2 linked regions of the Arabidopsis thaliana genome follow. The protein of the gene in region 2 interacts with the protein of the main gene of each other region in a biochemical or structural test. Each region holds a gene or a part of one and is shown on either strand. Other genes may lie near its edges.

Region 1 (6,497 bases), on a different chromosome or scaffold from region 2:
GCATCAGGAGTTGGAGTAGAACGCATAAGCTTAGAGACAAAGTATCTCAAAATACCGATTAGAACCATCACTACGGAGAGAGGAATCAGAACCCAATCTCTGATCGCCGTATCGAGAACTAGATCCTCCGCCATTCTAAACCCTAATTATCTCTCTTTCTCGTCTTCTTCGTCTTCGATCTTCTCTGGTGAAGCAAACAAAACACGATCTGAGATTCTGAGAGAAGAGCTGAGAATCCGATAATTTAGTGGAAATTATTTTATTTTTTTTATTTAAAAAATATCTGAAACCTTCTGAGTCAGAGAGAGGCTTTGATGTGTTCCCTTTATAAAACCCTAATTCGTTTGTCTATTAAACCCAAACTAAAACCCTAGCTACCTTGTTCTCCTCACCGCTTCTTTCTTCCCTGAACTCAGAACTTAGAACAAAGAACTCTCGTAGACGAAGAAGAAGATGACGGTAGAAGGAGTGAACCCTAAGGCGTATCCGTTAGCTGATTCTCAGTTATCGATAACGATTCTTGATCTTGTTCAACAAGCTACGAATTACAAACAGTTAAAGAAAGGAGCTAATGAAGCTACCAAGACATTGAACCGTGGGATCTCTGAGTTCATTGTTATGGCTGCTGATACTGAGCCTCTCGAGATTCTTCTTCATCTTCCTCTTCTTGCTGAAGATAAGGTATTTGAATTTCTTCTTATCGTTTCACTTTCTTATGAATCTCAATTAGTAGTTTCTTTGGCTCTTGCAAGTTTTACTGGATTCACTTGGGTATCTTCTTCATATGATAAAAAGATAAGACTTTATTGGCTATTAGACTCCAGTTTTGAGATTGTGATTGTTGATGTTCGTAGTAATCACTTAGGTAATTTAGTTTATGAATGTAGGAGACAGATTCAATTAGGATTTTTAGGCATTGAGAAGTTCGTTTGTTCTGTATTAACGTAGCTTGTGTAATGAGTTAAATCTGTGATTCTTGGTCTTAGGATTGACAATATCATTACTTTAGCTTCTGAGTATTATGCTCTGTTGATTCATGAATGTTTAGTTGACAGTTCCCATTCAAGTTTTTTTTTTTTGGCCTATTTAAATTTGGCTGCACAAACATATCTTTATTTGTATTCAGCAAATCTGTTTCACAAGCAACATTCTGATTCTGATTCTTTTACTAATTAGTTGTTCTCTCTCTGGCTTTGAACTATTGCAGAATGTGCCGTATGTGTTTGTGCCATCGAAACAAGCCCTTGGAAGAGCATGTGATGTAACCAGACCCGTGATCGCTTGTTCCGTTACATCAAACGAGGCTAGTCAGTTGAAATCTCAAATTCAGCACCTTAAGGATGCCATTGAGAAGCTCCTCATCTAGATTCTTGGTGGAATGAATGAATGATGGGTCTCTCCATTTATGAAGAGGCTTGGACTGAAGTGAGTTTATGTGCAACTTTTTAGCCTATGAGAAAAACAAAAAACTTGTGAACGAATCCTATCCTTTTTGAAGATTGTAATGCTTTTTATTTGATATTGTGTTGGTGCCAATGCATTTATGAACAACAAGAATCCTTTTAAAGTGAGTTTCTTCAATTTGGTTATTTGTTTGGTGACTTTGGTCTTTTGTTGCATAATGGGATAATTGATATGTAATATTGGGAGCCAAATGAAGCACGTAGAACCTATCATAAGTAGGATACAAACTTTCTCCTTCTGCTACTAAGCACAAGATATTAAAACTAGCATGTTTGTATCAAAAATATAAATATTGGATATGGTTAAATGAATGTTATTAAGTTGAGACCCAAAAAAAAACACTTGTATTCTTTGGATCAGTCAAAAGGGTAAATCAGTCTTTTAACATGTAAGTCTTCGGACTCACTATTTATAACCTCCTCTTCATTAGAGATCCCAAAGCTTAACATTCTCTCAAAATCATTCGCAAACAAAACTCTGAATTGCAATCTCAAATCTCAGAAAGGTAATAAGAACCCTAGATTCCAACAACACAATCGTTAGATTTTATCTTGGATTCCTTCTGTTAGCTTCGCAATTAGATTTTCGAAAATCGTGAAGCCCTAAATTCTCTCTTCTTTTACGGTTTCAGAAAGAAGACGATTTCCTTGGGATCAGAACATTATGTCGAACTGTTTGCAATTGAATACGTCTTGTGTTGGTTGCGGATCACAATCCGATTTATATGGAAGCTCTTGTAGACACATGACGTTGTGTTTGAAGTGTGGTAGAACCATGGCGCAGAATAAATCTAAGTGTCACGAGTGTGGAACCGTCGTTACACGTTTGATTCGGGTTAGATTTTGTGTGTTTCTTCAAACAATTTTGAGTTTCTGAAGAAAATTTTGATAAAATTGTTGTTTGGGTGAAATTGTTTAGGAGTATAACGTTCGTGCTGCGGCACCTACGGATAAGAACTACTTCATTGGTAGATTTGTGACTGGTCTTCCTAATTTCAAGAAAGGTTCTGAGAATAAATGGTCTCTTCGTAAAGATATACCGCAAGGTCGTCAGTTTACAGATGCACAACGGGTAATTTTGTGTTTGTTTTGGATCATACCAATCATTTTGATGGTTTTTACAATGAGTTTTGTGTGGATTCTAATTTTTGTAGGAGAAGTTAAAGAACAAACCTTGGATCTTGGAAGATGAAACTGGACAGTTTCAGTACCAGGGACATCTTGAAGGCTCTCAGTCTGCTACTTACTATCTCTTAGTGATGCAGAACAAAGAGTTTGTTGCGATTCCTGCTGGTTCTTGGTATGGAGAATCAAATTACCGTTGCTTCTTCTGTTGTTGTATTATCCGAATTCTGATTATTTTTGTGCTGTGTTAGGTATAACTTCAACAAGGTTGCACAGTATAAGCAACTTACATTGGAAGAAGCGGAAGAGAAGATGAAGAATCGGAGAAAAACGGCTGATGGTTATCAAAGGTGGATGATGAAAGCTGCGAATAATGGTCCAGCGTTGTTTGGAGAAGTGGATAATGAAAAGGAGAGCGGTGGAACCAGTGGAGGTGGTGGTAGGGGTCGTAAGAAGTCATCAGGCGGTGATGAAGAGGAAGGAAATGTTTCTGACAGAGGGGATGAAGATGAAGAGGAAGAGGCGTCACGGAAAAGTAGACTTGGACTTAATAGAAAGAGTAATGATGATGATGATGAAGAAGGTCCAAGGGGTGGTGATCTTGACATGGATGATGATGACATTGAGAAGGGTGAGTGATCTATTACCAAATGATCGTCAAGAAGCTTAAGAATGACTTTAGCATTTTCGTCAATAGATTGACATGATTGTTCTTCATTGTCTATTTAACAAAACTGCTGAAATGTCTGTAAATTATAATGCATTCAGGGGATGACTGGGAGCACGAGGAAATTTTCACGGATGATGATGAAGCAGTCGGTAATGATCCTGAGGAACGTGAAGACCTTCTGGCTCCTGAAATTCCTGCTCCTCCAGAAATAAAGCAGGTCTGTACTTACTATAGTGCTTTACTTCCAATGTACAATTTTCTGTGAAACTAACTGTAGTAATTTCTGTTGGTAATCCCATTTATATGTTATCCAAGTTTCAATGTTTACTAATTACAGGATTGTTGTGCCTTTACTTCCTATGAGGTCGTAACTTTCTTTTGACATCCCTTGCAGGATGAGGATGATGAAGAAAATGAAGAAGAGGAGGGAGGTTTGAGCAAATCTGGTAAAGAGTTGAAGAAACTGCTTGGTAAGGCTAATGGTTTGGACGAATCTGATGAAGACGATGATGATGATTCTGATGATGTAAGCCCTCTTTTGACATATTTTACTTCTTAAAAAATTGTTAAATTTTCAATCAAACTCATTTTATCTGGTTTGGATACACGCAAATCATCATGAATGTCATTCTTAGGAGGAGGAGACAAACTACGGTACAGTTACGAACTCAAAACAGAAGGAGGCGGCGAAAGAAGAACCTGTTGATAATGCACCTGCAAAACCTGCACCATCTGGACCTCCTCGTGGAACACCTCCTGCAAAACCATCCAAGGGAAAGAGAAAACTAAACGACGGCGATTCTAAAAAGCCTAGCAGCTCTGTTCAAAAGAAAGTGAAGACTGAAAATGTAAGATACTTGATTTCTATGTTTGAGAAAGAGTTGATCGTTTGTGCTGGATTTGATTTCTAACAAACAGGTTTCTGTAATCTTTGTAAGCAGGATCCGAAATCTTCTTTGAAAGAAGAGAGAGCAAACACAGTTTCCAAATCCAACACACCAACAAAAGCTGTGAAAGCTGAACCAGCTTCAGCTCCTGCATCATCATCCTCAGCTGCGACTGGGCCTGTGACTGAAGATGAAATCCGCGCTGTTCTGATGGAAAAGAAGCAAGTCACTACACAGGATCTTGTTTCCAGGTTTAAGGCAAGACTTAAGACCAAAGAGGTAATATTTAGTCTAATATTCCTTCTTGAAGTGACCATATGGTTTTTATCTGAGCTTATTCTGGACAAATCAATCGTTTGTGTTATATAACTGTGTCTTTTTACAGGACAAGAATGCCTTTGCCAATATTCTGAGGAAGATCTCAAAGATACAGAAGAACGCTGGTTCTCAAAACTTCGTCGTTTTGAGAGAAAAGTGAGGACTTCCTGTTTTCACAGCTAACTCTTTTCAAAAAGATTTCAAGATATCTCATGAGCTAGTTAAAATAAGAATGTTTTTCTCATTTCTTGATTTCAGATGTTTAAAGTTGGACCTATTTTTTTCCCATGACACTATTAGTAATTGAAAATCTTCAAATGTTTTATTCGAAAAAAATGTTTTATGCGAAGGTTTTCAAAAATGGAATGTTCCAGTGAAAGCCCAATTGTGAAGAGGAAAATAGTAACCATAAAAAAGCCCATTCGTAGGGATCCTATTGTGATTAGGATTTACTGAGATTCGGATAAATACAATTAGGTTTCCAACTGCTTATATGATGGAGAGATAAGATCGTTGGGACTCTTATATAAAGAAACAGAGTTTCTCCTAAGACGAGATTCTACTACTTTTCTCTCCAAAAAAAAGAAAATCAGAGTCATTAAAAGGACAATATAAGAAACTTTGCCTTGGTGAGCAAGCAACGCTACAATATAAAAGGCGAAGTATTATTGTTCTCTCCTTTGTTTTACAGATGTCAGCCTAAACCAGGGAAGAGAGAAAGTCGTGTGAACAAGCTCAACATCCGATCTAATCTTCAACCACGCAAGATGGAACTTGTGACTGAAGACGAAATCCGCAAAGTTCTGATGGAGAAGAAGCAATTAACTACACTGGAACTTGTTATGAGGTTTAAGGAAAGACTTACAACCACAGAGGACAAGGATTCCTTTTCCCATATTCTCAAGAAGATCGCAAAGTTACAGAAGAACCCTGGTTCTGAAAAGTTTGTTGTTGTTTTGAGAGATAATGTTACTCCGCTTGCTTCTGATCTAACTCGTTTATCTATTTCATGATCTCATGTGAATTTAGTAATAATAATAAGAATTTTTCTCGTGTCTTGTTTTCAAAAGGTTTTCAACCGGACCGATTTGGTTCTCGGTGGTGATTTATATGTTAACACAATTACGAAAATATTAACAAAGATGACATCAGATCTTTTCGATGATAATTAATAGTTTGTGTTTTCATATAATTTTCTATTTTGTGGTAATCAACATATGTATCGACAATACAATTAATTTAACACATTTGATAATCTAATTAACACTACAGTAATATTTTGGCTAAAAATAGGTTATATTTTGTAACACGTCTTAGTAAGACGGTCTTACAATATCTTTTTTTTTTTTTAACACGTCTCACATTATCTTACCGAGTTTAAATTTGCAAGCTTACAATTACATGCACCAACAATGTCAAATACAAATCAAAACTGAAACATTTTTTTTTCTTTCTAAAAGTGATGTACTTTCAAAAGAAATCAAGTAATTAATAGTTTCAGTGTTTACTATTAAAAAAATGTCAAATCATCTTTGTCAAATTTTAGTTTACTTTTAACACGTGTTAGAATTGAAAAACTATAAATCTATATATGTCATGATAACATCAAACTATTTATTAAACAAAATTAGTGTTATTTAGTAAAGACAAAACATATTTAATTAATTGTTAATCTCACAATATTTATGAATTAAAGAAAATTGTATCTGCTTATTATCATTATATATACTTTTTTTTTTTGGACGAATTGTTATTATATATACCCTTAACACATAAACAAGGAGATAATAGAAACCTGACATAAATATTTACAGAGTAATTAAGGAACATTAAAAACCGATTTTCATATATATATTGTGTTTAACTCATATCATATGGCAGGTAATAGGTATTTTGAAGATCAGCCGTATGAGGTAGAAAACCCTTTTAACATCATGATAACGTTGTCACCATTTGACATAGATTTGAGTACTACGATAATGATGCCAAAAACGTTACTAGAGGCCAACTTATTTCGTTTCATGGATATAAGTT
Region 2 (5,355 bases):
TGTTTCACCTACAATTTTTCATTTCTTCCATTAATTCCCAAACAAATCATATAAAGATTGCAATTTGCAAAACTAATTGAAAGAAGAGAGTACCCAAGAGGACCGACAGTTGTTGACGAATTGGGTTCTAGAATTGCTACACTCCTTAGGATAGAGAAGACCCACGGTGGCGATTTCAGTTGGTTTTTTACCAGATTCCTTTTCTAGACAAGCGTAAAAAGCATCTCTGGCCTGCACCAATTAATGATCACTTACAATTTAACCTAAATCACACAAATCAGTATCACAACAACGAAAATGAGAAGAGAGAAAGACGGACCTTGTAACAAGCATCTCTAGCTTTAAGAAGAACATCCTCATGAACATCATTAGGGTTCGACGACGCATAAGTATCGAGAGCCATGTCTAAGCGAAGAAGACGGAATCAGAAACCAGAAACAAACACCAAACAAAACAAATGAAAGTAGATGAGGGACATAAATATACGGCCCATTTAGGCCCGGCCCAAAAAAGTTGTCGGTAGATTACAGACCTTCGCAAATAAGCATAGACGAAACAAAATAATTAAGGAGATCAACCAAAAATTAGTACCTTGTTTAAATATCAGAGATACAATGTAATGTACATTACAAAACTTTACTTTAGACATAGATTCATAATTAATATCCAACAAAAAAAAGCTATCTCTTCTTTCTCATTGTTGTTACATAAATCACTCTTCTTCGGTCAATTGCTTCTTGAGCTGCTCTAAACCGAAGTTCTCTTCTGGCTGTTTCATCCAAAGGTAATTAGCTGCATCTATCCATCCTCTATGAACCACATACTTCTTCTCTCTAACGGCCCAACGAGCCTTCTCTGTTCCCACATCCATTGCCACAACGTGTGTCACTGATGCATCCACTTCCGTTGCGCAGGTGGCTCCCAGTTCCTCAGCCATTTTCCACAGGGGGTGATCTTCTGGCTTTGCCTTGGTTGGGAACACCCGACTGAACACTATTTTACATCCTTTAAGTATCTCTTTACGCACTTGTTTCAGCATTAACCTAACATCTCTGTTTGATATGCCTTCATCCACATTCTGAAACAAACGAATAATATAATCAACAAACTCCAACAAGACAAGAGATAAGTTTTATTTAGATCCAGTGAGTGCATACCTCAAAGAATAGAGCATGCGCTTGTTTTAGGACTTTCAGGACAGTTGCAAGTGCCCCATCTGGTTCACTCTCATCACTCTTCAACTCCGATAGAGACTTGTATCTGTGATCAAACTGCCTGCAGCTCGAAGAAAAAAAGTGATATCTCTCTATCACAATCAAATTGTCCTTGTGCTTTGGCCACGCCTGAGCATCAAACCAAGTATCATCAGCACAACTCAATATCATGATTAAAAGTTACATGAAACATTGACAAATTACAAATCATACTTACATTCTCTGTATCGTCAAGAATCAGAACAGCACTTTCTTGTCCAAGCACCACATCTAGACTCTTTTCATGTCTCACTGTGCCGTCATCCCGAGAAATGACCCGATCACCAAAGTACTCTCCTTTGGGGTCCAGCAGCTTGGCCATCTGTCGTGCATAATTCCTATCTCCCATTGTGTATATGTACATCACAAACATCTCACTAGCTTCTTTTAGAAATGAGTGAACAAACGGCCTCAGTTTGGTCATCATTTGCATAAATTCCAGTAGGAAAAGACTGCCTCCGGAAACATTGCAACCATCTAGATGGAACAAAAAAAAAGACAAATACTAGACTGAAGTTCCATGCACAAAGATCACATTTGAAAAAGAAGCAAAACAATGTAGCTGAATGTATCACCTTGAAGAGAATGAGTATGACTTTTCAAGTATTCCTCCTCTGGTTTTAGGTCCCTCAGTATGGTTGTATTTAGCAGTGTGTGGTCTAGATCGAGAACTAAATACAACTTCCGCTGGCGTTGCAAGAATCTCGAATCTGAATCACGCAACCGGGAGATTTCATCTTCATTGAGCCTCATTTCCTAAGAAAACAGATTTCCCAAAGCTCATTAAATAAAAACTAAGATTTGATTTAAGAGAAGCTATTCTGAAATCGATACCTTGTGTATGTATCTAAATGAAACACCAGTTTCTTCCAGTTTTTGTCCACATACAAAGCACATATTCCCAAATGATCCTGGATGCTCGCATTCGCCTTTGCTTGAGGATGCTTCTGCAAGCATAAGGTTCAAAATTCAATACAATCGAACAAACGAAAGACAGAAAAATAAGACTGAATCAATAAAGAGAGCTTCACCCTCTAAATGCTCCAACTTTTGTCTCTTTAACCTAAAAGATTGAGAAACATGGTTTGAGAAAATATACACACTGTAAATACCAGTAGAGAGTTCGAAGATTCAATTAGAGAGAATGCATGACATATGAGAGTTGAGTTTACCCAGATTCTACATCATCCTCAGCTTCTTCTTCTTCGCTGGGTCCAGACGAAGCATCTGATGCAGAGTCTAATTCAGCATCAAGGAATGCAGCAAGATCGTCACTACTACTTGATGAATGAACTGGAGAATCACTTGCTACGCTCATCTGAAAACCACTCACAAGTCACAACAAAGCAAAATCAGATAAATTTTTCAACGCAAATGAAAGTCACGAATTGAGTAAACCCTAAATTAAACACAGACAGAGAAAAGGTCACATGGAGTTCGAATTGAAATCGCAGAGAAACATGGAGTGGTACCTTAAACTTGTTCGTCGGAGGCGAGAGAAAATCAAATCGTGATTTTGGATTTTGAAAGGAAAAGAGTGGAGATGTCACGACGGTGAGCAACCGTAAAAGTGAAGAAGTAAAGCTTTCAACTTCTGTCCGATTTGTTATTTCACGAAAGCTGAATAGTTTATGTAATAAGGCCCGCTTAAAGCCCGTTAGAAGCCTAATTAAGATTGTTTGTTTTTGGGTTCAAGTCTAACTAAGTTTAAGAAGAATGGATAAATATTTCAAGTGTGTGAGTTTTAGATTGTTGGCATAAGTTAATTGAACTTAGAAGATCAGATTCACATTATAAACTGTAAGCTTTGTATAGAGAAGTAACTAAAAACTAAAGAGATTACATAGTAAATGTTGTTTATATATGGAGGAAAAACAATTAGTATATTTAAGAAATTTTCTTGAGTTTATTAGGCATCATCATATGAGGAGGAGCCCTTTTGTGTTTAGGAGGGACTTGTTCTTTTTCTTCTTCTGCTTCTTCTTCTTCATTGTCATCCTCATCATCATCAGCTTGATCAGTTGTCCAAATCATCTTATGTTGATAATATCTGAAGGCGACGAGTAACATGAATGCTGCCCAAACACGGGCAGTGACTGAGGAGAGGTTCCAAACTAAGGTGAAAAGTGCCAAAGCCACTGCCTTTTTGTGATTGCAAGATTCCCATGCGTCCCTGAATCTCCTCATCCAGAAATTTCCTGAATTGTACACAACTTTGTTTGATTAAAAACTGTTTCATAGAAGATGTAACTGAAAGATATTGAAGGAGTTTTTAGTTACCGTATGCAGAGAAGTGTGTTGAGTATGATATGAAGATTTTAGGTATTGTAAATGCTCCCAAAAAGCCTGTTCTCACGAGGACAAAACACTCGCAAGTCAGAAATCTACATACACCACTTCTTAAAACAAGAAATCTTGAAGTCTAGAGGTACCAAATTTGGCGAGGTTCCAAAGAGTGATAGAAGAGCCACACCTGGCCAAGACAAACAACACTACTCCCATCTGCAAAACATCATCTCTTCTTTATTAAGGTCAAGGGAGAAAGAGGAAACGAAGGAGAGAAAGTGAGAAGAAAAAGACTTACCTTGAGAGTGGTTGATGGATCACCGGAGAAGAGAGCTCTGAGTTGATGCAGAGACTCGTTGAGATAAGGCATTATGAGTCTGAGCATCCTCTTGACATCTTCCTCTCTAACTCCAACCACTTTATGTCTCTCCTCCTCCACCATTCCCCTGCGTCCATTATTACATGCCTATTAAACCCAATCACAAAAACAACATGCAAAGATAGAGAGAGAGAAATAGGTCTATGTATCAAACCTGTGGATCAGTGATTTTAATACGAACATGAGACCGAGATAGATGAGTCCCATGTACGCTACCACCGATATGAAGCTGTACATTTTCATCACATTTTAGTTCCATACTACTTAACTAACTTGTGTGTAGATTCTCCTTGATCAATTGAAAAGAACTAAAGAACCTGAAATTGAGATCATTGGCGTAGGAAGAAGAGATGATGAGGAATGTTCCGAAGCCAAACACAAGCGTCGACCTTGATACATCCCTCCACATCACCAGATCCACTGTCCAGATTTCATTTCATTATTTAACATACTTTAGACTTTTCATAGTAAAAAAATTTGTAGATGGAATTATGCACAGTAAACTGTTAAGAAACTCACCCAGACTCTGCAATTTACTCTGTGAATGAGTAAAGTTGTCTTCTTGCTCTGCAAATCTATCTGGAAACAGTCGTGAAAAACAGAGGATTCATCAGAATTCAGTAAGCAAATAGCGGTCGATGAAACAAAGCACTGAAATTCGGATTAAACAACCTGTGCTTGAAGTAGAATTTGGTGGGGCCGAGTAAACAGAAGTTGCCCTTTTGATCACCGGAGGCGAAATTTTACGAACGGACGACGGAGATGGAGATGTTCTGTTTTGAAATTGACTAAACTTTTTAATCTCAACACCACCAACTCTGTTTTCCTTGGCTACATTTATCTCCTTCACATCAACACTCTTCTTCTCCACTTCTCTTTCCTCCTCCTCATCTCCATCTTCTTCATAATCATCTTGATCACCAATCTCCTGGTCGCCATTGTCAATCTGCTCATTTTCGTTTGATTTAGCAGATACGATCATCTCCTGACAAACACCAAACTCCTTGACTTCTTCTGGGATCTTCGAATTCTCAATGATAGTCACTTCTTGCTCTGTTTTCGTATCAGATTTCTCAGAATTTGGAGATGGCAACGAATTCACTTTCCTCAACGCAACTGAATCAAATTCACCGGCTTTAACGATCGTCGTGCAGACCTCCGATCGGATCTTCTTAACTCGACCCGGAGTAGTCTTCTTCTCAATCCCCTCTACAGATTCAGATCTTGCCTTCTTCGCCACCACCGACACACTCGGACTCTTATCATTAGAATCACTACTAGACAACGATCTCCTCGGCGTCATCGGAGGAGTACCAATTGATCTCGGCTTCGTCACCTTCAGAGAATTGGCTCGAACAATCTCAAGCGTTGATGGGTTCTTCACATCGGACGCTCTAGACTTCCAAGTCCGTCTCTTTCCATTAACACCTAATAAAG

The links.
Region 1: the proteins of CPL4 (region 2) and RAP74 form a complex in vitro, tested with the Arabidopsis thaliana proteins (one study listed by BioGRID).

Annotation. Positions count from the first base shown.
Region 1 is NC_003075.7:7,452,843-7,459,339, forward strand, and holds RAP74 (transcription initiation factor IIF subunit alpha RAP74), read left to right. Parts: upstream 1-1,896; 5' UTR 1,897-1,969; intron 1,970-2,095; 5' UTR 2,096-2,127; coding exon 2,128-2,298; intron 2,299-2,382; coding exon 2,383-2,535; intron 2,536-2,617; coding exon 2,618-2,763; intron 2,764-2,839; coding exon 2,840-3,219; intron 3,220-3,356; coding exon 3,357-3,475; intron 3,476-3,652; coding exon 3,653-3,784; intron 3,785-3,893; coding exon 3,894-4,106; intron 4,107-4,199; coding exon 4,200-4,424; intron 4,425-4,530; coding exon 4,531-4,619; coding exon of another isoform or gene 4,620-4,623; exon of another isoform or gene 4,624-5,154; coding exon 5,155-5,476; 3' UTR 5,477-5,513; downstream 5,514-6,497. Other genes in the region: AT4G12590 (ER membrane protein complex subunit-like protein (Protein of unknown function DUF106, transmembrane)), read right to left, coding at 1-134; AT4G12600 (Ribosomal protein L7Ae/L30e/S12e/Gadd45 family protein), read left to right, coding at 454-846, 1,208-1,366; AT4G12617 (B3 domain protein), read left to right, coding at 6,338-6,497. UniProt on the Arabidopsis thaliana protein: TFIIF is a general transcription initiation factor that binds to RNA polymerase II and helps to recruit it to the initiation complex in collaboration with TFIIB. It promotes transcription elongation.
Region 2 is NC_003076.8:23,477,282-23,482,636, reverse strand, and holds CPL4 (C-terminal domain phosphatase-like 4), read right to left. Parts: upstream 2,857-5,355; 5' UTR 2,726-2,856; intron 2,572-2,725; coding exon 2,426-2,571; intron 2,317-2,425; coding exon 2,285-2,316; exon of another isoform or gene 2,211-2,284; coding exon of another isoform or gene 2,201-2,210; coding exon 2,088-2,200; intron 2,010-2,087; coding exon 1,829-2,009; intron 1,731-1,828; coding exon 1,432-1,730; intron 1,344-1,431; coding exon 1,158-1,343; intron 1,079-1,157; coding exon 713-1,078; 3' UTR 501-712; downstream 1-500. Other genes in the region: AT5G58005 (Cytochrome c oxidase, subunit Vib family protein), read right to left, coding at 1-8, 94-231, 320-403; AT5G58000 (Reticulon family protein), read right to left, coding at 3,141-3,451, 3,534-3,599, 3,686-3,755, 3,838-3,985, 4,073-4,147, 4,236-4,338, 4,438-4,497, 4,591-5,355. UniProt on the Arabidopsis thaliana protein: Processively dephosphorylates 'Ser-2' and/or 'Ser-5' of the heptad repeats YSPTSPS in the C-terminal domain of the largest RNA polymerase II subunit (RPB1). This promotes the activity of RNA polymerase II. Required for normal plant growth.